Linked DNA regions of Astyanax mexicanus. The protein of the gene in region 1 interacts with the protein of each later gene in a biochemical or structural test. Links are inferred from orthologs where the notes say so. Each region holds a gene or a part of one and is shown in the gene's direction. Other genes may lie near its edges.

Region 1 (12,743 bases):
AGGTGTACTTGTGGACTTTTTGTATTTTTTGTAATTGATTACATTGCTGTATAATATATTGTTTATGATGTTATTTTGTGCCACATCAGCTGGGGTAATGGATTTATAATTTACATACTGTAGACCAGGGGTCACCAACCTTTTTGAACCTGAGAGCTACTTCTTGGGTACCAATTAATGCGAAGGGCTACCAGTTTGATACACACTCGTGAAATTACAAATTTTCTCAATTTACCTTTAATTATATGTTATTATTAATAATTAATGACATTCATCTATGTGAAGACACAGATATCAATAGGCAACACTATTATTATAAATCTCTGCAAGTGTTTACATTTTATATTATATTTTAATATAATATTACATATTATATTACATTATATTGTATAATAATATATAAACTATAGGCTATCTCTAAGCTAATATTAATGTAATATAATCTAAAATTACATCAATGCAACTGTGATTTAAAAAAAAAAAGAATAGCAACAAAAATGCTATTTTTAGACCAGGCCTGCGGGCTACTCATAAGGTCCTTGCGGGCTACCTGGTGCCCGCGGGCACCATGTTGGTGACCCCTGCTGTAGACATTACAGTACAAGCAAAACACTTCCAGTTTCCATTTACACCCTGAAGAAAAACTAGTTGTCATTTAATTCACACCCTGAACACAGCTAAACATTCATATCTAACAGTGGGCTGTAAAGACTTTGGGAACATCTGGTCATATTTATTTTCTTTTTGTTTCAGATACAGATACCTTCATCACTACACTGCCTTCTAGGTGAGAAAGAGTGAGTCAGCATTAAGAAAACATCTCACTCAAATGCCTTATCCAAATGTGCTCCAGATCACAGAGCAATGATGTAATAAACAATAATTAATTATTGCTATAAACTGCTCTAATTTAGAATATGAAATCTGCCAGATTGTATATCATTAAATAGTTCAGTATTATTATTATTATTATTATTATTATTATTATTATTATTATTATTATTATTATTATTATTATTATTATTATTATAATTTTTGCAGTATAAAGTAGTCAGGATTACCATCTCATTAACCCACAAAATTTGTGGCAGTAGTGGCTTAGTAGTCATAGTGCAGGGGGTATTAATGACAGGGCTGTAGGTTCAATACTCAGGTTTGGCAAGCTGCCACTGATAGGCCCCTTAAGTCCTGTCATATATCGCTGTGTGTATGTGTGTGTTCACTGCTGGAAAAGTGGAGGCCATGTGACATCTGCAGCCAACACAATAATGGTAAATATAGTTGTCTTGTTAAAAATATACTAGGCACTTTGTTTTGTTAATGTGTCCTTTAGATTTACATACATTTAAATTATATATATTCAAACATCCATCCTGAATAAAAAAACAGTTCTTATAACTTCAGCATGAAAGGGTGAAGCTAATCTGCAGCACAACTCATGCAAATGTGTTGGTTTCTGTGACATCTCTAAAAGAAGTAATATGACACTATTTGTTTTAGCAGATTAGTATAATAATCTATTGATTTTATGGACTTCTGCTACCGCTATGATCCAAGGATTGCCTGTTCGAATCTCAGGTAATGCTGCTTGCCATCAGCATCCAGAGTCTGAGAGAGCACAATTATCCTTGCTCTCTCTCTGGGTGGGTAGATGGCGCTCTCTCCCCACACATCACTCCCAAGGTGATATCGCCTGTTATCTGACATTTCTGAGCTGGGTCTCTGGGTTTTGCTCTGAGTGCAAGTGTTGCATTACAGGCAATAGTACTGCTAAAAAATCTTGCTCAAGACCAGCTGGCCATCCAGAAAAAAGCCAGATTTTAAGCAGTGAGGGATAAAACTAAGGACTGGGTGGGGTAATTGGACTTCCAAATGACTGCAACTGGGAACCTCTGGCTTATAGCATTCCTGGTATCTACAATCTTCCAGACTAAATTGGTTCGAAGTTGATGACTTCTGCAGAACGCATTTCCTTCTTTGAAGGTCTTACCTGCTAATTACTCAGTGCCAACAATACACTGTTAAATGAATTATGAAATTATTGCACCAGCAGTTTATGATGACATGAAGGGTGTGCTGAGGGCACGCCTGTGATGATCACACCTGGACTCATTGAAGGGTTCTGTATGTAAAAGAACCAAAATTGTTGTTCTGTACGTTTAAATAGTTGGAACTGAGTGAGAACAGTCAGTTGTTTTCATGTGACTGCTTATTTATCATCCGTAATTTCATTACAGATCTAGAGCATGTCAGCAACTGAGAGCAGGTCGAAATGATTCACTCAGACTGCTCTAAATGCCCAAACTCATGCACACAAACAGCATAAACTCCCAAACCATTTCTCTGATAATTCTAATAACGATGGCTCACATTTTTGCTATCAGAATTTTGTGCCTTTTGGCCCTCAAAGATGTAATTTTTTTATTATTATTATTAGTTTTTTTTACATATTTATAAGACTTCACACTTCACTGTTTATGGTAAACTTGTTATGTTTTGAAGATACATTTTGATTTTCTAATTACCGTGATATTTTACAACAATAGGGTGGACTGCATAAGCTCTACCTCAGCTAAATATACAGACAAAGGAAGAAATATTAAGTGAAATTAATATTATTAATTACTGAACATGCAACAAGGAAACAAAACAAGTTAATCCTAAACAGTCCGTTGCACAGTGTTTTATGAAATTTAAACAAATATGCTGCAGACATGAAAGGATTGTTATATCGATAATAACCGATACATTAATGTCAGTTCTGCATGATTGAAATATGTCATATAAACATAATGACTTGGCCTATATGTAACCACTCTAATGCACAGTTCATAATTTCGGTCTGAGGTCATGACTTCAAGTCTCCAAAATTTAAAAAGCCTAAAGTTAGACTGCTTTATTCATTACACAACCATGTCTGGTGTGTCATTGTCCTAATGGAACAGGCCTTGCTGATGGTTTGAGCTTAAGCTGAAGAAGGGAGGGGCAGTCCACCACAGAACATGATGGTTTCACCACCATGCCTAACAGTTTATATATTGTTCTTGGGGATGAATGCCTCACTCTCCAAATATAATTTTGGTCACTGTGGCCATTCCTTGTGTCATCTGACAATAAACCTTTCTGCTTGAAGTATTTTTTCTTGTCAATGTAGTTGAGCATAACATTACAGTTTTTGAAGCAGGGGCCTGAGTCTTGGATAGAAGCCTCTCAGTTTATGGTAATGTGTAAAATCTGCTTAACTGTATAGGGTGACACAGGTGTTCCAGCAGCTTCCAGTTCATGGTAGGCCTGTCCCTTGATGGTTCTTGTGTTGTTCCTGACCATCCAAACCAGTTTCCTCTCAGCTGGTGGATGCATCCTATTTAATTTTGGGGGTTTTATGCTCACAAGGACATGCTACATTTTAGTCTTTTGTTCTTGATTTAAAATGTGTGTAAGTCAATACAATAAATAGTGCATTTAGAGCTGTGTAAAATAATTACAAATGTTTAAAAAAGTCAGTGTTGGGGCAGTGTTGCATTACTTATTTAATGTGGGTTTAGTTACCCTTAGGTTTTAATAAACTGTTCCTAAGGGTGGTAAATCTTGACAAAACAGGACAAGGCATTCTGTTAATTGCAGGTAAATGATATATATTTGTCTGACTCCTGATCCTCCTGCAGTGGGTAACTGATACTTCCTCTGCTAGACGATGGCAGAAATGGTACAGTTAGGGTATGGTTTACCAGAAAAAATACTGACATTCCAAAAGTAATGGGACAGAAACTAGTATTGTGTCTAATGGAAGCTAAAGAATGGTTCACTGACCTGCAGATTATGCTTGCTTGGGGCCTCCTGTGTTGAATGGGGACATGATTTCTGACAGTTTCTTGTTTGTTTGCACAAACAATTTTGGCTTCCAGTCACGATCCTTACTACCCACAACGCCGTTCACCATGTGTGGTAATGCCTTTTGGCATGTCAGTGTAAATGTCAGCCAAACAGACATTCTTTACCAGACATTCTTCTCAGATCTGGTGTATTTTCATATGTGTTTTAATTTTTAAAAAAAGAGAACAAAAAACATTTTATAGTAATTAAAAGAAGTATATTTACATTTAGAAGTTAACATGCATTGAATTTTGTGCTGCCAATATTCACTTCTGCTTATACTGAAAAAAACAGTTCTTGCTTATACTGAAACTGTAAATACAACTGTTTCATTCCTGTTGTCTCAATCTATAGGGGGAGTCAATGATTCAGTTATTTAGGTATTGCTCACTAGTTTTGCAGTAAATCCTTTGTTCATTTGTTATTGTGCTGCGCTATGATTCATTAAAGGGAAATTCCACCAGGTTTAGTTAATTTGTTGAGGTGTGAACTTGAAAGTCATTCATAGTGGTTTAATATGAAATCCAAGGCGAAACTTATTGTTCAAATGTTGTGATTACAAATGTGGCATTAGTAGTGGGCTGTCAGTCTCACCCAGCATAACTACTGCACCAATAGCTTCAGCAATTAGTTTCCCTTTGTGTTTATCAGAACTAGTTTTGAGTAGTAAAAAATTCATATGAGCAGAATTTATCCAGAATTTCCTATCCTCTTCCTTTTCTTGTTGCTGCTTACCCTCTTTCTTATTTACCTTCAACCGTTAACTGTTTTTTCTCTTAATGTTTATGTGGTTTGATTACCTTGGCTTCCAGATCAAAGATATTGTACTATAGCTATTGTATTCAAATACAGAGTGAATTCAAAAACAGTAGTGAAATACAATAGTAATTCACAATGGCAAAGTTTAAAAGGCCCTTAGTCCTGAATAAGAAATGCTGTAGTTCATTTTGAAACTTTTGCCTTTGTCACTTGATGGGAGATATGTGAGATTACTGAGGTGTTTATCGCAGGAGTCCTGTTTGAGCAGCAGGAGAGACATGTTGCACTCTTCCTTTTCTTCCGATTGGAAACTATGTCAGGAGATATAGAGATATCCTTATTTACTTTTTATTGTTCCCACCTCTTGACAGGTGCAACTATAAGGACAGAATGTTATTAATGTTTATGTTTGATGGACAAGCTGGTCAGCTAGGTTGACCAGTGTGGTTGGGCTGGTCATGCTATTCATTCAAGTCATACTTAACTAGCTTGGCCATGCTGGTCAACTACTTTGGTTATACAATAGTTCACCAGCATTGAAAACCATTGGTCAACTAACCTGGTCATGATGGTCAACAAGCTTGATCAACCATTTTCGCCATACTGGTCAACCATCGTGGTCATGCAAGTCAACCACCGTGGCAATGCTGGTCAAGCAGTTTGGTCAACCAGGTAAGGCTAAGACTATTCAACCACCTTAGCCATTCTGGTCAAGCTGGTCAACCACACTGATCATGTTGCCAATCAGCTTATTTAGGCGGTTTGACCACCACGTTATGCTGATCAAATTTGTCAACAAGCTTTTCATTCTACTCAGCCAACCTGGTCATGCTGGTCAATGCTGATCATATTGATTATGCTAGTCAACCACATTTTTCATGCAGGTCAACCACATTGGTCATGTTGGTCCTGCTGGTCAACCAACTTGCCAGACTTATCTTCCTCCTTTGTCGAGGAAAGTTGTTAATGCTGGTCAACTATGGTGGCTTGCAAAAATATTCAGACCTCTTTAACTTTTTATCATTTTTGTCACTTTTTCACAACTGCAAACGTCACTTCTTATGTCTTTCCTTCAACAATAGTTTTCTTCTTGCCACTCTCCCGTAAAGGCCAGATTTGTGGAGTACACGACTTATAGTTGTCTTGTTGACAGATTCTCCCAGCTCAGCTGTGGATTTCTGCAGCTCCTCCAGAGTGACTACAGGTTTTTTGTCTGCTTCTCAGACCAGTGCTCTCCTTGCTTGATCTGTCAGATTGGGTGGACGACCATGTCTTGGTGGGACTGCAGTTGTAGTATACTTCTCCATTTTTAAATGATGGACAGGTGTATTTATACTGAGAAAAGATTACACACAGTTATTAAATAATTAAAGCTACGTTCACATTACAAGCTACATTGCTCAAATACGATTTTTTGCTTAGATTGGATTTGGCGGTTCATTGTAACAAATGTAATTGACCCGTATTTGTGTGTAATGTGAACGAATCTATTTCTGAAACGCCTCACATGCGCACATTAATACATGTATAAAGGTAGCCTTCTTCCCAAACAACAATAAATATCATATTTGAGAGACGACTCGTAGCTTTACTAAGGAAGTAAATGTGTTAGCAGTTTATATGTGGAGCATCTTTTGCTCAATTGGAGAGCAAACAGCTGGTTTGAAGTACATGCTCAGGTCAAGCAGGGGGAAAAAGGCCAGGCGGCTTGCTTTTGCTGTTTTTTAGCATTTCTGTCCCACTTCACAATTATGTGCTACTTTGTGTTGCTCTCTCATTTAACATCTCAGTAAAATACATTAAATACGTTGGTTTTAAGGTGACAAAATATAAAAAATAAAGGAGTATAAATACTTTTGCAAGCCACTGTAGCGTGGTCAGGTTGATCACGCTAATAGATAAACCACCAAACTCAAACGACCTGTACTGGAAAAGAGCTAAACCGGTCAGTCAGTATAAGGAAATCCATGTGTCGGTTAATGTCGGTGTTGATGATGTCTGTATGTGGGGAATGAGTGCAGGGCGCTTCCTGCACTGAGTGTGAGTTAGGTACAGTGGTGTGAATATGTGGTGACTGTGGGCTCTGAATGACCGAGTCTCGCGCAGATCTCCTCCTCCGCCTCCGCGCGCCTGTTTGTGTGTTTGGATATCGTGTCTCCTCGCCGCGCCGCACGTGAGCTGATTGTGTTTAAAAGGCAGAGCGCGCGAGAGCGGCGTGCCCACAGGGGAGCTCGCGCAGTGCAGCGCGGACAGAGTGCGGTGCTGCTCGCGCGCGGATCACGGGGGGGCTCGCGACGTCCACGCGCACACACCAAGTACACGGACAGCGCTGTGAGACGGTGTGGGGAAGGGGGGGTTTCTTAACGGGGAGAAATACGGAGAACCCCTTACCCCTTAAGTGTATGAGTGTGAGTGTGTGTGGAGGACAGCAGCCCTATTGAAGGGACAGCAGATGTGAGCGGAGAGCTGCTTCCCGCGCCCGGGCTCGGCGAGCATGAACAAGTCACCTGTGGATGAGGCCAGTTTCCTCTCCAGATACTTCTTCTGGTAAGGAGCTGCTAGAATATTCCACGCACTGAATATAAACTCATTTACAAAAGGTGAAGTGAAGACATACTGAGAGAAAGAGGCTATAGCTGCTCTCGCAGTATCATATAGGGTTTATATAGATATAAAGCTCTGGAAGAAATTAAAGAGACCACTTCAGTTTCACCTCAAAATCTCTTATTTTGCTATTCATAGGTACATGTTTGCGTAACATGAACATTGTTGTTTTATTCTATAAACTACGGACAATGTTTCCCCCAAATTCCAAATAAAACAATTGTCATTTAGAGAATTTATTTGCAGAAAATAAGAATTGGCTGAAATAAAAAAGATGCAGAGCTTTCAGACCTCAAATAATGCAAAAAGTATTTGGTGGAATAACCCTGATTTTTAATTACAATTTTTATGCATCTTGGCACGTTCTCCTCCACCACTCGTCTTACACACTGCTTTTGGATAACGTAATGCCACTCCTGGAGCAAAAAATCTAGCAGTTCAGCTTGGTTTGATGGATCGTGATCATCCATTTTCCTTTTCAATTTGCTTAAATCAAAGAAACTCACTATTTAAGCGGTCTCTTATTTTTTTCTAGAGCTGTATATATATTTATAATAAAATGACAATCAAATATATGACAAATATTTTATTTAACTAAATTTTAACTATTTTAGTAATAAATTAAGCATCAAAGTCTTCAGCCACTCACAGAAAGCAGAACAGAGCCTCAGCAACTCTCCAGACTCGCTTTTCAGCTCAATATCTTAAGATAAAAGTAGTGCTACTTCAGTCAAACAGTGTTTGCTTAAAATATACTTTTCTAAAAATACAAAATAAACGAAAATAGTAACTAATTTAGCTAGCTCACATAAATCGCTAGATAACTTAAAGCATCTTTAGCTAACCACAGATTCCACACTATGCCTCTGTTTAAAATAATAATAATAATATGTTAATTACTAAAATGTTAATTACTTAAGATGTAGCTAAAGAAAATATTTTAAGATTAGATATTCGATTGTATTATAATTTTATTATAATAAATATTGATTATATTTAATTTGATTTTTTTAAATAAAATTTGATCCCTGGCAGATTTAGATTTAAGAGTACATTTGCAGCAATATAATGAGTATAAAATAAATAATCAAACTGTGTACATTTGCTTATTACCAGTATTGGAAAAAATGCATCTAACCATTTTTAGAGTGTAAAAACCAAACAATAAATCAACAGATTGATCTATAATATAAGTAACCATTAGCTGGAAATAAACCTCACATTTGTATTTTTTTAAACTGATATTTTTTAAGATTTAGCCATAGAAAAGCATTTGTTTGAACACCCCCTATATCTACCACGTTTTAACAAATGAAGCCATGTAAGAACAAATTCATTTCAAAATTGCAGCTTTAGGAGAAGGAAAAATAAGATTTTTTAGTGGAAGACTACATGTAAATAGGTTTTGTTCCAATTCAGAAAAAATTCAGAAAATTAAAATATAAAAATGCCAGTAACACCACAAAATAAAAATAGAAATTGTGTGACAACAGTCAAATACATTGTTATGCAAGAACCTTGTATCTTGTATCTGAAAGTTATAGTTAAGATATGTTTGAGTTTTTTCTGTTTTGGAGATCAACACAACAACAACAACAATATAAGGAAAACACTGAACTGAACAGCTAATTACTGCATGTGTCTCTTAGCTACAGTGTTACTAAAAGCAGTGTTACACTTTAAACACTTTTGCAGGTTTGTAGCATCACTTTTATAGACACTTTATAGACACACTGACATCGAAACACCCAAAAACAATTTGACTGACGTTTATTTGTTCTGACCTTTTGCAGGTGGACAAACCCTATTATGCGAAAGGGTTTCAGGGAGAAACTGAGGCCAACAGATGTGTATCAAACGGCATCACAAGACACAGCTGATGTACTTGCAGAACGGCTTGAGAAGTTTGTGTCTCCTACTCATCCTTGCATGCTCATAATGAATGAGATTATAAGTTTGCTGCTGTGGAGATAAGATATTGTTTTATTGCTTGATGCCAGGCTCATAGTCTTCTATTGTTTTATTGTTTAATGTTAGTTATCCCCAATTTCCCCCAGTACTCCTTCATTCAGTGATGAACAGAGAGTGACTCTGTTAACATTAAACATGAAATTTTATTTCATAACACAACCCTATTTACAGCCACAGGATGTGTTGTCCCTGCTCCTGTTGCAGCTTCCAGAGGTTTCAAAGGTCCTGTTACTTAAGCTGGCCTAAACACCGTCACACCTTTGAGTCAGAGTGTTAGATGTTTTGTGTTGTAAGTAAATGCTGCCTTGCTCCTTCCAGTAAAAGCCCTAACATGCCATGTTTCACACCACCCACTATGCATTTTCTTGGGTTGGGGTGCCAGTGCCCCTTTAACAGGCATCAAACACGACCTTTTAAAGTGCCAGGCCCCTGGTGAGTGATGGATAGTTGGCAGTATTTTTAGTCCTCAAACATGCTGGTTTTCTGGGAATTTGAACTTTTTATACAATTAAAAGCTTGGAGCAGTTTCCCTCTCAACCTGTCAGGGTCTCTTTGGCCCATTTAATAAGTTCTCTAAATCACCCTGGTTATTCACGAGTCTCCTGAACAATGTGGGCCATGGCTTCTTTACAGTGGCTGGGAGGATGTGGAGGGGTGTTTAACTGTTTCTTTTGAACTTTCTTTTTTTCCTTATGCACAGGGAATGGGACAGAGAAGTTATCTCCGCGAAGAAGAAGCCCAGTCTCCTCCGAGCACTTTCCCGATGCTTTATTCGGCCCTTTCTGTTCTTTGGAGTTCTCCTCTATTTGGGGGTAAGTCTCTGTAGCTGTGTGTCTCTCTCTATCATTCTCAGACTCTCTGGCATTCAAAGACTTCTGCATGTGGCAACAAGGAGCTGTTTCTGCATGAACAAGCAAAATAAGCCAAATCAGTGAGAAATGTATTGCGTGTTAGCTTGTGGTCAGCTATTGCTGGCTCTCTGGTATTACAGCAATGTAGTTGGGTGGTTCTTAGAGCAGTTTGCAGTGTAGTGTGACTTTTGCTGTGTCCTCCGCTTAGAGGAATAGCTCCTTCCTTTTATGTAAACACCGAAGGAGTGACTGTCCTGTTCTTATTGTTCTTGGTAAATGCCACATTCTGTGTAAAAGTGCAGTACCAGGTTGCTGCCCACTGCTGATCACATATTAACTGTGTGTGTGTGTAGTTTGGTTAACCAGTTTAGATAGACATGCTGCTCTCCTCTATTTTATATATTTATTCAGTACACAATTAAGTACACTTTTTTATATTTTTATTTTATAGTGTATGGTAAAGTGGATTTTAAAAATCTCCCACAATGCATTTAAAATTAACAGTAAATATTTTAGCTCAGTACATGTGCTATATGTCAACTTTATGTCCAATCAACTTTATGTAAATGAGCCGAGCAGTTGATATGGGGCTTCCTTAACAAGTGTGTCATGCCCACAGTCGAGGTACAGGTTGAAGATTCAGTACTTGAACAAACATTGAGCAGGAAATGTGGTGTCCTGTAACATTACCCTAACCTTGTCAGTCAGCATGCTTGTTTCGCTTCAGACATTGTTTCTATATCCCTCAGCTTGTCAACAAATGCACATGAATTGCTGTCTAATAAGTGTGCTCTCGTAGCATGAATTGCGTGACTCTCCACTATAAATGGAGAGTGTAATTAAAAGCAAAAGCATTGTGTTAGAATCGGTTTACTACAATACAACAAAAAGCCAATTCACCTTTGCGTATTCTTTGTGCAGGAAGCCACAAAATCTGTACAGCCTCAGCTCCTGGGACGAATAATTGCTTCATTCGACCCCTTCCACGAGCCAGAACGAGAGCAGGGCTACTTCCTGGCCTTCGGCCTGGGCCTTCTCTTTATTGCTCGCTTCCTACTACTGCAGCCAGCCATGTTTGGGCTGCACCACGTGGGCATGCAGATCCGCATCGCCCTCTTTAGCTTAATCTACAAAAAGGTGAGCTGCCAGCTATTCTTGTCCTCTCTTGTCCTAATTTCTTTGTAGTGAGTAAGGATGAGTTGCAAAATTTATTGCTGAGTGTTGTCAGATGTAGATTTCCATTTGTGTTTATCTTTGTCAATTAAGATTTTTCTTCCTCTTTACCCCAGACGCTGAAGCTGTCCAGTCGAGTTTTGGACAAGATCAGCACAGGACAGCTAGTCAGCTTGATGTCAGCTAACCTGGGCAAGTTTGATCAGGCAAGTACCAGCTGGCCACCTGTTCATAACACTGACATAAACACACCAACTTTTTTAATAATTAACAGCAATGTACAATAGTAAAAAACAAACACATCTCTCACTCTAAAAGTGTTTTCTGAACCTACGAATCCATATCTGATATTGAAATAGCAAGAGTGTATTACTCTCTGAGTAATGCAGCAGAGAAGAAAAAGCTTGAACTTTAGAACTCTTGAGAAAGGTCGAACCAGGGTGATGAATGTTGATACACTTTGCAAATGCTCTGAAGCAATTATCACCTGTATCAAATGTGGCAAGTGTAAAGCACTTTTTGTCTCAGAGAACATACATTGGTTCTCCCTTTTTGTGTGTGTGTTCTTAGCGGGGGCCAATAGTCACACCATTCTCCTTGTGAGGTTGAGAATGTGATCTGAGGGCTACTGTTTGTAGGGTAATGTATCCCCCTTGCTGAGTGATCACTCACACCAGCCCTCAGTGTTTTGTGTGTGACTGTGTTTGTGTGCAAGAATCTTGCATTTTTCAACCTGGATGAACTGAAGTATGGCAGTTTCCCTTTTACACAGCATGCTCTCAACCGGAAACGACTGTCCATCTGGAAGACTGCATCGGGCATTGAGGAGCTGACCCAGCACAGAGTGCTAATCCATATCTGGGCATACAGTCATACACACATTCTTGCATACTTACACCTACATACACTAAAACACTCACAACACCAGGGCAAATGTAGAGTTTCCAATTTTTCTGGGCATTTTAGAGTGGCCAGTTTACCTGTTCTCCATGTTTTTTGAACTGTGGGAGGAAAGTGAAGCCCTCGGAGGAAACCCAAGCAGACACAAAGAGAACATGGAAACTCCACCCAGATGACTTGAACCCAAGACCCAGTGCTGGAAGGCGAATGTGCCAGTGTCACTGCCAGTGTCACCAACAGTTTCCTGTTTGTGGTGCCCTGTGGGCACTAATGAAAGACTTAAAATGACCAACACAAACCATGCAGCAGCAGACTTTGACTTTACATTTACTAGATGGACCAGCTACGTAGGAGTGCCTCCAGCAGCACTGCTGTGCCGGATCCACCTGTACCAGTGCAACATACACTTACATATCACACCATGTCAGTGTTACTGCAGTGCTGTGTGATCCATCAGCTAAATAATACCTGCTCTGTGGTGGTCCTGTGAGGTCCTGATATTTGAAAAAACAGAGTAAAAGCATCAGTCGACTACTTAACTCTTAACCTGTCATCACCAGAGAAAGCAATGAATTTATTGGGGGGTCGCAATGAAAACAAATAAGAACACTC
Region 2 (13,040 bases), on another chromosome or scaffold:
CTTCGGTTAGTTTGTCTAGTTCTACTGGGTCTACAGGAGAGTACATTAGAGTTGATAAGTCTGGAAGCTTATCTGTAAATTGTTGGGCTGTAAAAGGCGTAATTGAACGTTTTACAGAGTAGCTAGGGGATGTACGTATATTATGACTGAGATGTAATTTAAATGAAATAAGGTAATGATCTGAAATTGCGGAGGTTTGAGAACGAATATTCGGGTTATCTATGCTCATACCCAGGGTCAAAACTAAATCCAGAGAATGATTACAGTAATGAGTAGGTCCTGTTATATTTTGAATAATACCAACTGAGTCTAAAATCGATGTGAATGCCTTTTTTAATGGATCATCCAATTTTTCGAAATGAATGTTGAAGTCTCCAACTATAATCACTTTATCATTACTTACTGCTAAGTCTGTGACAAAATCACTAAATTCTTTTAAAAATTCTAAATAGGGCCCTGGTGGTCTGTAGATGTTAATTAAAGAAAATGCATTCTTTTTTGTAACTGGATTAATTATACTGGTGTAAAGAAGCTCAAAAGAAGTAAAATTTTCATAGTGTTTCTGATTGCTAACTAAGGTACTTTGGAAAAGTATGCAGACCCCACCTCCTCTACCGGACAATCTCGGATTGTGTATATAATTATAGCCTGCAGGGGTGGCTTCATTTAATGCTACATATTCATTTGGCCTAATCCAGGTTTCTGTCAGACACAGAACATCGAATTTCTGATCAGTTATCATTTCATTCACCAGAACTGCTTTTGAATTTAGAGATCTAATATTAAGTAAACCAATCTTTAGGCTTGAAATGTTAGTACTACAGTCTGGATATGATTGTTTAATATAAGTTAAGTTATTTAGATTTACTGTTTTAGTTTTTTGATGTTTTTGTTTGACTCGGGGGACAGACACAGTCTGAATACATTGGTATCTAGGTAACGTCTCTTTGCAGCTCGCAGACGGTCGGTTAAGCCTCTCTGTCTGCGGCCTGGTCCCGGCTCTGGATTGTCAGCAGCTTCTAATACTACTCTGCCGACTAACTAAAAGACTATGAGCTATGCTGCATGAAAGTAAGGCAGCACCCTCCCGCGTGGGGTGGACACCATCCCTACCTAAAAGACCAGGCTTGCCCTCAAAGTGTAGCCAGTTATCTATAAAGCCCACATGATTTTCTGCACACCACTTGGACATCCAGCGGTTCAGCGAAGAAAGCCTGCTGTAAGCTTCATCACCACGCCTCATTGGGATGGGGCCAGAGCAGATTACTTCCTCGGACAGCGTCTGGGCCTGTTTAATCACCTCTTTAATATTAGCCTTAGTTACTTCAGACTGCCGCAGACGAATATCATTGGCCCCTACATGAATTACTACCCTCGAATATCTCCTATTCCCTAACCTAAGGTTGCCACTAATGTCCGGTGCTCTGGCTCCCGGTAAACAAGTAACTGTTGCCGCTGGTGCCCCTAAAGGAGTAGCTAATTTCACGTGTCGGACGATAGAGTCTCCTATCACCAGAGTACCTTTAACAGGCTCCTCAGTTGGTGCTTCACTGAGCGGGGCAAACCTGTTTGACACGTGAACTGGGGGAGCGTGGTGTTTAGGTGGGCTGGCTGTGGCCTTTGCGGTAGCATTAGCCTTAGCCTTTCGACTATGCCGCCGAGACGTTACCCATTCGCCCCGCTGTGAGGGCTCTAAGGCCGGAGTCGAGGGGGTACTAACTCTCCCTGAGACACCCGGGGCTGCTAACAGTGAATCCTGCTGTCTATCCCTTATTAAACCCCGGACGTGCAGCTCTAACTTATTCACCTTATCCACCAAGGTGCTAACTATCTCACACTTAGTACAAATACCACTATTGTTACCAGTATCGGTGGATAAGGGATCTAAGCTATACATGCCACACTCTAAACAGGTGTAAACCTGAGCAGAAGCCATGGAGAAAAAAAGCACTCACCTTGTTTCAGTTGAAATTAGAAACTTACACAAACAAACTGCAGCAGCAAACAGCTAATCCAGCAAACCTGAGGAAAAAGTCTATAAAAGTAGACTGAGAGTGGATTAATAGGTGTGTAGAGCAAAGAGGAAGCAGACTAAAAGTGGATTAGTAAGTGTGAAGAGAGTAAAAGAGAAGAAAACAGAGAAAAGTGTAGAAGCTGAAGATTAAAGCAAGCTTTCAGCAGCAGAGCAGCACAGCAGCAAACCAGCACAGCAGCAGACCAGAGTAGTAGAGAGCAGAGCAGGGAGCAGAGCAGGGAGCAGAGCAGGGAGCAGAGCAGGGAGCAGAGCAGGGAGCAGAGCAGTGCAAAATATGGTAGAACTATAAAAAGTGTTCTAGGCATCAGCAAGTCTGAGAGTGTGTCCATAGCTGGGGGTGTGTCCATGGTGTGGCCAGAGTGGCCGGAATGAAAAAGTTTCACAGAGTCTTTAGTTTGCTGTGCTGAGAGGAGTTGAACAGTCTTATGGCCTGAGGAACAAAAGACTTTCGGAGTCTGTCTGTGGAGCAGGACTGGGACAGCAGTCTGCCGCTGAATGAGCTCCTCTGCCTGGTGATGGTGCTGTGCAGAGGGTGGTGAACATTGTCCATGATGTTCAGCAGCTTACTGAGGGCTCTCCTCTCTGCCAGTGGTGTTAAGGACTCCAGCTCTAGTCCCAACACAGAACCAGCTTTCCTCACCAGCCTGTCCAGTCGTCCAGCATCCCTCTTGCTGATGCTGCCTCCCCAACACACAACAGTGTAAAAGAGGACGCTGGCTACCACAGACTGGTAGAACATCAGGAGGAGTTTCTGGCAGATGTTGAAAGCCCTGAGCCTTCTGAGGAAGTACAGTCTGCTCTGAGCCTTCCTGTAGAGGGAGTCAGTGTTCACTGACCAGTCCAGCCTGTCGTCCAGGTGCACACCAAGGTATTTGTAGGATTTGACCACCTCCACGTCGACCCCCTCGATGGAGATTGGCTGCTGAGCAGAGGGCCTGGACCTCCTGAAGTCTATGCACATCTCCTTGGTTTTGGAGATGTTCAGCTGCAGATGGTTCATCTTGCACCAAACCACAAATTCCTCAACCAGGCTTCTGTACTCCCTCTCATCATCATTACGCACACACCCCACGATTGCAGTGTCGTCAGAGAACTTCTGCATGTGGCATGACTCCGAGTGGTATTTGAAGTCTGATGTGTACAGTGTGAACAGGACTGGAGAGAGAACAGTCCCCTGTGGTGCTCCTGTGCTGCTGATCACTGTGTCAGAGGAGCAGTCCCTGATCCTGACATGTTGTGGTCTCCCAGTAAGGTAGTCAGTGATCCAGGTGACCAGGTGCATATCCACCTCCATCTCCATCAGCTTGTCTCTCAGTAGTAGGGGCTGGATGGTGTTGAAGGCACTGGAGAAGTCGAAGAACATGACCCTCACAGCACCTCCCCCCCTTGTCCAGATGAGAGTGAGCTCTGTGCAGGAGATAGAGAATGGCATCTTCCACTCCCACCTTTTCCCGGTACGCAAACTGCAGTGGGTCCTCAGCATGGTGGACCTGAGGTCTGAGTTGGTCCAGCAGCAGTCGCTCCATGGTCTTCATCACATGAGATGTCAAAGCAACAGGCCTGTAGTCATTCAGCTCCTTCGGGTGTGCTTTCTTAGGAACTGGAACGAGGCAGGTTGTCTTCCACGTGGCAGGAACTCTCCCTATACGCAGACTCAGGTTAAAAACATGTTGGAAGGGCTCACCCAGTTGAACAGCACAAGCCTTGAGCATTCTGGGGCACACTCTGTCCGGGCCAGCTGCCTTCCTGGGGTGAAGTCTCCTCAGCTGTCTCCTGACCTGGTCAGCAGTAAAGGTTGGTGGACTGGAGGAGATGATTTGTCTGCCAGTTGATAGTGTTGATGGTGGTGATGATGAAGATGCAGCTATAATATGCAGCTATGATTTCTCAAATTAAGCTTTAAGTGAAGTGAATTTTCATATGCTTTTTAAACGTGAAGTAAATTTTATTATGCCACACTATAAAGTCTTGACAGTAATGACTGTATATAAGGCTTTATAATGTGTTACACACGCATATAAAAGCTTAATTTGAGAAATCATAGCTGCATATTATAATGCATTATATCAAAATATACCAAATCTGTGTTAAAGTGCATTACAACACTACATTTTTATGAACATATATTATAAAGCATTATAAGCCCTTTCTTTATAAACCCTTATACTTGTAGTTTATAATGTGTTATGAATGCCGCTGTAAGTACTTTATACAGGCTTTTTACAGTCATTATAAGGTATTATGCATGTCATTTAATGCTTTATAAATGCATTTATAATACATAATGAATACAGGGTTCATAGGAAGTGTTACCAAGACTTTCTTTTAATGTCAAACAAATGCTGGATGTAAATCTACACAGATTTGGGTGAATAAAGTGCTTTCGTTTATTTACAGTAAGCTTAGATTCCCGAATTTCTTTATTAGCATTAGGGGCTAAGCGCTCCAACCGTGCTAGCCGCGGTTAGTGGCAGGCTACTGGCCGATAATACTCACCTCTGAACAGCAAAAGAGCTAGCACTTAGCACAGTTAGCAGGCAATGCTAATGCTGCTCCAGCAGTGCTAGCCGGGGTTAATGAGAAAATAGCGGTTAGTGGCTAATTCTAATGCTACTTCTACCCACTGGTGCTGGAGAACTAAACTGAATCTCCTGTATAACTCTGTACTTCAGTGGAGTGGCTTTACTGCTCCTTAATACCTGACTGATAGAATTCATACATAAGGAGCACCGGATTATAAGGCAGACTGTCGATTTTCGGGAAAAAGAAAGGATTTTAAGTGCAGCTTATAGTGCGGAAAATAGGGTATAAGGGAAAGGACTATGCTGTTGAAATCAGGTCTTCCTTTATGGTAATAGTTTGCATTTATTCATGTTGGAGAGATAATAGGCTTTATTCGTGTGATGCTGTATTTCATAGACACCTTAAAAAACTAATTTGGAGGCAATGGCTTTCTGTGAAATGCCATAAATAGTGGCTAGTTAACTAGCTCACTAGCTAGAGTTGTGATAAAGCTGTGTGTGTATCACAATCAAAAAGCAACCATTGGCCTTGATACTATTAATGTATCAACAGCTCACTGCTCTATATGAACATTTTGCTGTGTTACGACGATTAGCCATTAGCAAAAACGACTGAAATTTAATTCCTGTCTGAGCATCGTGTCTAAGTAAGCAGCATTTCTTACGCTTCAGAGACAAACAGTATTTCATTTTACAATTGATTGGTGGCTTAAACTTGTTTTATGCCAAAATAACAGAAATGATTTCTGAAAAGGAGTTCCTATTGTTTTTTATTTAATAATAATGGAGAAAACTACATAAATATTGTAGCATATTGTAGTTCAGATGACAAGAACAGTGTTTTTAAAACATCACATCACAGACTGACACTTTCAACCAAGTAACCAAGTCAAGTAGTATTCAACATGCACAATATGGACAAAAGGATTGAAGAATCTGCTTATTAATAGTTTTTCAGGGTATTAAAAAGAGTAAATCCTGCTTTTGTTGGAGTAACTGTCTCTACAGTCCAGGGAGAGAAGGTTTTCTACTTGATCCTGTAGCATTAGTCAACTGTCAGTGGTTACCAATCAATCAGTAAATCAATATACCATATTTTTCGCTCTATAATTCGCACCAGATTTATAAGGGGTCTTTTATGCGACCCTAGTAAGGAACAGGGGTGTCGCCATGTTTCTTTTCTAACTCAGCAGGTCTTGCCGCTGGGTGGCGACCTGTAAAGCTAAACTAAGTAAACAAAACTGTAATTCTTATGTTCTGGATGTTAATCTACAAAGATTTCTCTCCTGAAAAATGTTTATTTGGGTGAGAGAAGCTCTTTCGTTTATTTACAGCAAACTTAGGTTTCCAGATTTCCACTGAAGCTGGAGCATTAGCATTAGCTTTAGCAGCTAACAACTAGAGGGTAATGCTAATGCTGCTCCAGCAGTGCTAGTCAGGGTTAGCAGCAGGCTACTGGTCAATAATACTCACCTCTGAATGGTGAAAGAGCTAGCACTTAGCACGGTTAGCGGCTAATGCTAATACTGCTGGAGAACTAAACTGAAACTCCTGTATCCTTAATACCTGACTGGTAGAATTCATACATAAGAAGCACCAGATTATAAAACACACTGACAATTTTTGGGAAAATTAAAGGATTTTAGTTGCATCTTATAGTGTAAAAAATATGGTAGACCTTCAAACTTCTTGTGGCCTTAAGATCAGCTCGAGAAGAGCGTAAAGAGCTTCATGGAATTGAGAGTTTCTACAGTCAAGCAGCTCCATCCAAACCTTAAATCACCAAACACAGTAATGCAGGTGAGCGGATACCTTTTGCAATGTAGTGTATCATCAGTTTAGACGCTTGTTTTTTCACCTGTAAAGTTACAATCTTGGGTATGCAGGGTATCTGTGTGATATTGATGATGTGCTTCCTAATACACCACACTAGCCATACTGACCAGAGCATGTTTTAGCTTTGTATTCAGTTGAGATAATGTTACTGTTACAGTTATGAATTATTTAATAATTCATAACATAAAATTATCTTATCTAATAATCCTCAAATGGTACTACTAACCTGCAAGGTGTATTTTATGAGTTTGGAATTGTGTCCGATCCTAAATCCTGTGCCTTTAACTACGGTTGAAAAAAGAGCATTATTATTTTTTTTAAATATGGATTAAAGCAAATAAATCTAAAATGAATAAATTAAACAAAACTGATTAAATGAGTAAATGTTTGTCTGAGTCTTTTATTTCATGCAAAACAATGCTTTTTATTTTACTATGTTGAACTTCTACTTACCCAGGTACTTAAAAGGATTTTACAGTGTTGGGATAACAGTATGTAAACTGATCATGAAGTGTTACCACAAAGGACAGCTTGGGAATGCCAACAGAAGTATAAGTGTTGAGGTGTTATCTTGTGATTGAGGTAAAAGTAGTAGCGAGGCAATGTAAATAATCTCAGAGCTGATTTAATATTCCTCAATCCACAGTATTCCAGGTGAGTAAATGGTAATGATCATGACTGGTGGCATCTGGCCTGAATTGTTCATGCAAACATACAAAAGACTCCACAAGTCATTGGTGAAAGTCACGGGACATGATTCTACTTCCTGTCTCATGACATTCGCCATTTCAGCCTACTAGTGCATCTCAAAAAATTAGAATATCATTGAAAAACTACTTTATTTCAATAATTAAAATGTGAAATATATTCATATATATCAATATATCATATATTATATAGATGCATTATACAAAGAATGATCTATTTTAAGTGTTTATTTCTTTTATTGTTGATGATTATGGCTTACAGCCAATGCAGATTTCATTTTCAAGCAGGACTTGGCACATTGGAATATAATCAAGAGGAAGATGGATGATGACAAGCCATCAAACCACCAAACTGAACTGCTTGAATTTTTGCACCAGGAGTAAAGCAGCATAAAGTTATCCAAAAGCAGTGTGTAAGACTGGTGGAGGAGAACATGATGCCAAGATGCATGATTAAAAACTGTGATTAAAAATCAGGATTATTCCACCAAATGTTAATTTCTAAACTCTTAAAACAGTCATTTCTCATTTTCTGTAAATAAATGCTCTAAATGAGAATATTTTTATTTGGAATTTGGGAGAAATGTTGTCTGTAGTTTATAGAATAAAACAACAATGTTCATTTTACTCAAACATAAACCTATAAAGAGCAAAATCAGAGAAACTGTAGTGGTCCCTTAATTTTTTCCAGAGCTGTATATAATATACGAGTTTCACATTTTAAACTAAATTACTGAAATAAAGTAACATTTTAATAATACTCTTAATTTTTTGAGATTCACTAGTATATAACACTACAAACACTGGGGATTGTTGTTGTGTCAGCTAATCTTAATCAATTCTGGTACTGATAAATTTTTCTTGGTTATGTATTATTTATTAGCTTGGCTAATAAATGGTCAGTCATGTGGTAGGAGGGTTAAATCAGTGTGCTTTTATTTTCTCCAGAATGTCTCTTTAAGTGATAAATATGTTCTGTTTGGTTCTTGAGGTTTGACCCTCTGTTAGATGATGTTATGTAATATAAGCTGGGTCTGTTGTTTGGGCTATAGTCTCATAAACCTTAGCTTACACATTAAACTCAGTGTGGAGCAGAAAGGAGGAGTCCAGAGGACTGAACTGTTCGGTGGTTCAGTTTGCACCTTGAACCTCCTCGCTGTCTCCTGCCCATTACACCCACCAGGATCCAGACAAGCAGCACCATGAGATACACCACAGGTAACCTGAGCTCTTACCTACCTACAGCCAGTCTGATCTGGATCATTTCTATCATCAATACAAGACCAGTGTTTAAAATCACTGCAAATAAAATGAAGAGAGCACTTCAGTTTCTGAATCAGTTTCTCTGATTTTGCTATTTATAGGTTTATGTTTGAGTAAAATGAACATTGTTGTTTTATTCTATAAACTACAGACAACATTTCTCCCAAATTACAAATAAAAATATTCTCATTTAGAGCATTTATTTACAGAAAATGAGAAATGACTGAAATAACAAAAAAGATGCAGAGCTTTCAGACCTCAAATAATGCAAAGAAAACAAGTTCATATTCATAAAGTTTTAAGAGTTCAGAAATAATCAATATTTGGTGGAATAGACTCTTGGCATGTTCTCCTCCTCCACCAGTCTTACACACTGCTTTTGGATAACTTTATGCTGCTTTACTCCTGGTGCAAAAATTCAAGCAGTTCAGTTTGGTGGTTTGATGGTTTGTGATCATCCATCTTCCTCTTGATTATATTCCAGAGGTTTTAATTTGGTAAAATCAAAGAAACTCATCATTTATAAGCGCTGTAGATTTCGTTATTGTATGCTTATCTGTATTATGGTAATGAGATGATCAGAAATACACATTGAGTAATGCCATAAAAGAATATATTTTGATTTCCTGAAGAACCATGTTTCTAATAAAGTTATTTTTTTTAGATTATCTAGAGCTTTAAAAATAGTACTAGCTCATATTTTTGTGTTAGAAGTAAACTGTAGGTTTTATATTTAGTTTGGCATAATTAAAAAAACTTATATAACTTTATAAAACATATAAAATTCCGTCTATCAAGGAAAATTGTGATATGATATTGCACAGTGTTTGTTAATGGCTTGTGGTCATCAATCTTCCTCTTGATTATATTCCAGAGATTTTCAATTTGATAATTCTTATTTTTTATTTTCCAGAGCTGTATATTTTTATTGTATGCTTATCTGTATTATGGTAATGAGATGATTAGAAATATACATTGAGTAAATACACATTGATTTCCTAAAGAATAATGTTTCTAATAAAGTTATTTTTAAATTATTTAGAGCTTTAAAAATTGTATCAGCTTTTTGTTCTTCAGTTTGGTACTGTATATCTTTAAAAACTTATATAAAATATATAAAATTCAGTCCATCAAGGAAATTTGTGATATGATATTGCACAGTATTTGTGTTTAGGCTGAGCTAATGTTAACGTGTGGATTCTGTTTACTCTAAACTGAGTGTTCACACATGATCTCAGGATAACAGAGATATATATTTTATTTTCACATTTCTGCCATTTAATAAAAATGTGTACTTTAAAATACTTTGTAATGCTAATCTGCATTATGATTATCAAATGATTTAGTATTTTTTTTCCAATGTTTTTTTCTGATATTATCATTTAGTCACTATTTGCTGTGTCCTTTTATACACCAAATACAATCAGATACAATCTCAAAAATGATGAGAACTAAACTATACTATAAAACAATCATATATATTTTTGTTTTTCCATTGAACCGTGATTTTGATAGAGATTATGAAGAAATATTTACATCAAATAAAGGTTCTTTATTTAAAGGACCTTTTAAAAGCTTATTTAATTTTAATAACATGTTTATTACATTTATAAAGAATTAAAAGCTGTTCGTATGTGGCATTACTCAAAGAAGCATTTAATGCACATTGTGTAAAGAGTGTAAAGGAGAGTTTTCTTAAAGTAAATGAGTAAATGGGTCATGGAAATTTACCATGGTTACGGGTAACCTTAAAATATTGTTAATTTTTAAACCAGGCAAAAATAGAAAAGAATGAATTAAGTGCTGAAGACCTGTTTATTAGTTTGTGTGTCCAGTATAAATTTTCCTTACACCTGAGTATAACAACAGAGTATAATAACAGAGTATATTAACAGAGTATATTAACAGAGTATAATAACAGAGTAATAACAGAGTATAATAACAGAGTATATTAACAGAGTATATTAACAGAGTATAATAACAGAGTAATAACAGAGTATAATAACAGAGTATAATAACAGAGTAATAACAGAGTATAATAACAGAGTATATTAACAGAGTATATTAACAGAGTATAATAACAGAGTATAATAACAGAGTATATTAACAGAGTATATTAACAGAGTATAATAACAGAGTATAAAAGCAGAGTATAATAACAGAGTATATTAACAGAGTATATTAACAGAGTATAATAACAGAGTATAATAACAGAGTATAATAACAGAGTATATTAACAGAGTATAATAACAGAGTAATAACAGAGTATAATAACAGAGTATATTAACAGAGTATATTAACAGAGTATATTAACAGAGTATAATAACAGAGTATAATAACAGAGTATAATAACAGAGTATAATAACAGAGTATAATAACAGAGTATATTAACAGAGTATATTAACAGAGTATAATAACAGAGTATAATAACAGAGTATATTAACAGAGTATATTAATAATAATAATAATATAATAATACTTTATTTTTATATAGCGCTTTTCTAAAACCCAAAGACGCTTACAGTCATCATTTGTGAAAACAAATAGAAACATTACACAACAAGTGGTGACAGACAATCAACATAGTACGAGAACAGACAGCAGGGATAAGTGGTATAGTACATTAAACAGAGGGAAGGCCGTAGGCAAGAGAAAAGAGGTGAGTCTTGAGTGTAGATTTGAACAAGGAAAGAGAGGAGGATTGTTTGACCACAGATGGGAGAGAATTCCATAGTTGAGGAGCAAGTCTGGAAAAAGCCCGATCACCAAAGCCACGGAGTTTAGAGGCTGGGACTTTAAGAAGTCCAGCAGTAGCAGACCTAAGGGATCGAGATGGTCTGTAAGGAAGAAGGAGGTTTGACAGATAAGGAGGTGCAAGATTATTTAATGCCTTATAGGTAAGTAAGAGAATCTTGAATTGAATCCTGTATTTAACAGGGAGCCAGTGAAGATTTTGGAGAACAGGTGTAATGTGTTCATGGGTGCGAGTGTGAGTGAGTAAACGGGCAGCTGCGTTTTGTACCATCTGGAGTTTATGGATAGAGGAAGAACTAATGCCAGCAAGCAAGGAGTTACAGTAATCTAGTCTGCTGGAAATAAAAGCATGAAGGAGTATTTCAGCAGTGGACTGAGTAAGGGATCGTCGAATTTTAGCTATTCTGCGCAGATGAAAGAATGCAGTTTTCACCACAGAGTTGATGTGAGCTGTAAAAGAGAGAGTGGAATCTAGAAGAACGCCCAAATTTCGGACTTGGGTAGAGGGAGAGATTACTGTACCGCCAAAGTTGAGAGAGAGAGTAGGAGTTTGATTGAGGACTGCTTTAGTGCTGATTAGGATGAGCTCGGTCTTATTACTGTTTAGCATGAGAAAATTGTCCTTCATCCAGTTCTGGATCGCAGAGAGACAGCTTTCTAAATGAGTAGTGGGTGGGTTATTGATAGAACTAGTGCTAAGATAAATTTGGGTGTCGTCCGCATAACAGTGGAAGTCTAGGTTAAAGTGACGCAACAGAGGCCCAAGAGGAAGGATATAGATGATGAACAGGAGAGGTCCAAGGACTGATCCTTGTGGTACTCCGTGTTTAATCACAGAGGTATGGGAGGAATAGCCAGCCAATGAAATAAATTGTTTTCTGTCAGTTAGGTAAGATGAGAACCAGTCCAGGGCAGTGCCAACGATGCCAAGTTCACAGAGTCGAGATAGAAGGATAGAGTGGTTAATTGTGTCAAATGCAGCACTTAAATCTAGAAGCAAAAGAATGTTTAGAGCACCAGCATCAGCAGCTACCAGTAAATCGTTAATAACCTTGACCAATGCCGTTTCAGTACTGTGGAAGGGTCGGAAACCAGATTGAAAGGGTTCAAATAGGTTTTGTGATTCAAGATAATGTTGCAATTGGCAGGCCACAGTTCTTTCAAGGACTTTAGACAGGAAGGGGAGATTGGAAATAGGGCGATAGTTGTTGAGGTCAGAAGGGTCGAGACCAGGTTTCTTTAGTATAGGAGTGACTGCAGCCGTTTTGTAAACAGATGGAACCTGACCAAGGAGAAGTGATTGATTGATGAGAACAGTGAGGTGGGGGAGCAAGGCAGGTACGCAGGCTTTAGTTAAGTTGGTGGGGAGTGGATCTAGAGCACAGGTTGTGGTCTTAGAAGACATTACAATATTAGCGATAAAGGAAGAGTCAATACTGTTAAAGGCAGCAAGAGAGGCGGAAGAAATGTTAAAATGAGAGAGGTTGGTAGTATGAGAGGAGTGAGAGGGGGGTCCAGAAGAAGCAGAGATCAGGGATCTATGAATATTTGCTATTTTGGAGTCGAAGAAGTGTAGGAAAGTGTTACAAAGGGCTGGAGAGGGTACAAGAGTGCTGTCTGGACTTTTAAATAGCTTATCAACTGTTGAGAAGAGGTGCCGAGAGTTTGTTCTATGCTGACTGTTAATGAGGTCAGAAAAGTAGGTTGTCTTAGCAGCACTAACAGCATCTCTATATGCAGACAGATGTTGCTTATATGCATTCGCATGAACAGTAAGTTTTGTTTTTTAACAGAGTATAATAACAGCGTATATTAACAGAGTATATTAACAGAGTATAATAACAGAGTATATTAACAGAGTATATTAACAGAGTATAATAACAGAGTATAATAACAGAGTATATTAACAGAGTATAATAACAG

The links.
Region 2: the proteins of cftr (region 1) and pdzd3a form a complex in vitro, tested with the Homo sapiens proteins (2 studies listed by BioGRID and IntAct, with this or other methods). The link is inferred for Astyanax mexicanus from reciprocal best matches to the Homo sapiens genes CFTR and NHERF4.

What each region holds. Positions count from the first base shown.
Region 1 is NC_064416.1:24,817,760-24,830,502, forward strand, and holds the start of cftr (cystic fibrosis transmembrane conductance regulator), read left to right. Parts: upstream 1-6,512; 5' UTR 6,513-7,126; coding exon 7,127-7,179; intron 7,180-9,029; coding exon 9,030-9,140; intron 9,141-9,907; coding exon 9,908-10,019; intron 10,020-10,979; coding exon 10,980-11,195; intron 11,196-11,347; coding exon 11,348-11,437; intron 11,438-12,743. UniProt on the Homo sapiens protein: Epithelial ion channel that plays an important role in the regulation of epithelial ion and water transport and fluid homeostasis. Mediates the transport of chloride ions across the cell membrane.
Region 2 is NC_064425.1:970,522-983,561, forward strand, and holds the start of pdzd3a (Na(+)/H(+) exchange regulatory cofactor NHE-RF3), read left to right. Parts: upstream 1-8,214; 5' UTR 8,215-8,302; coding exon 8,303-8,318; intron 8,319-13,040.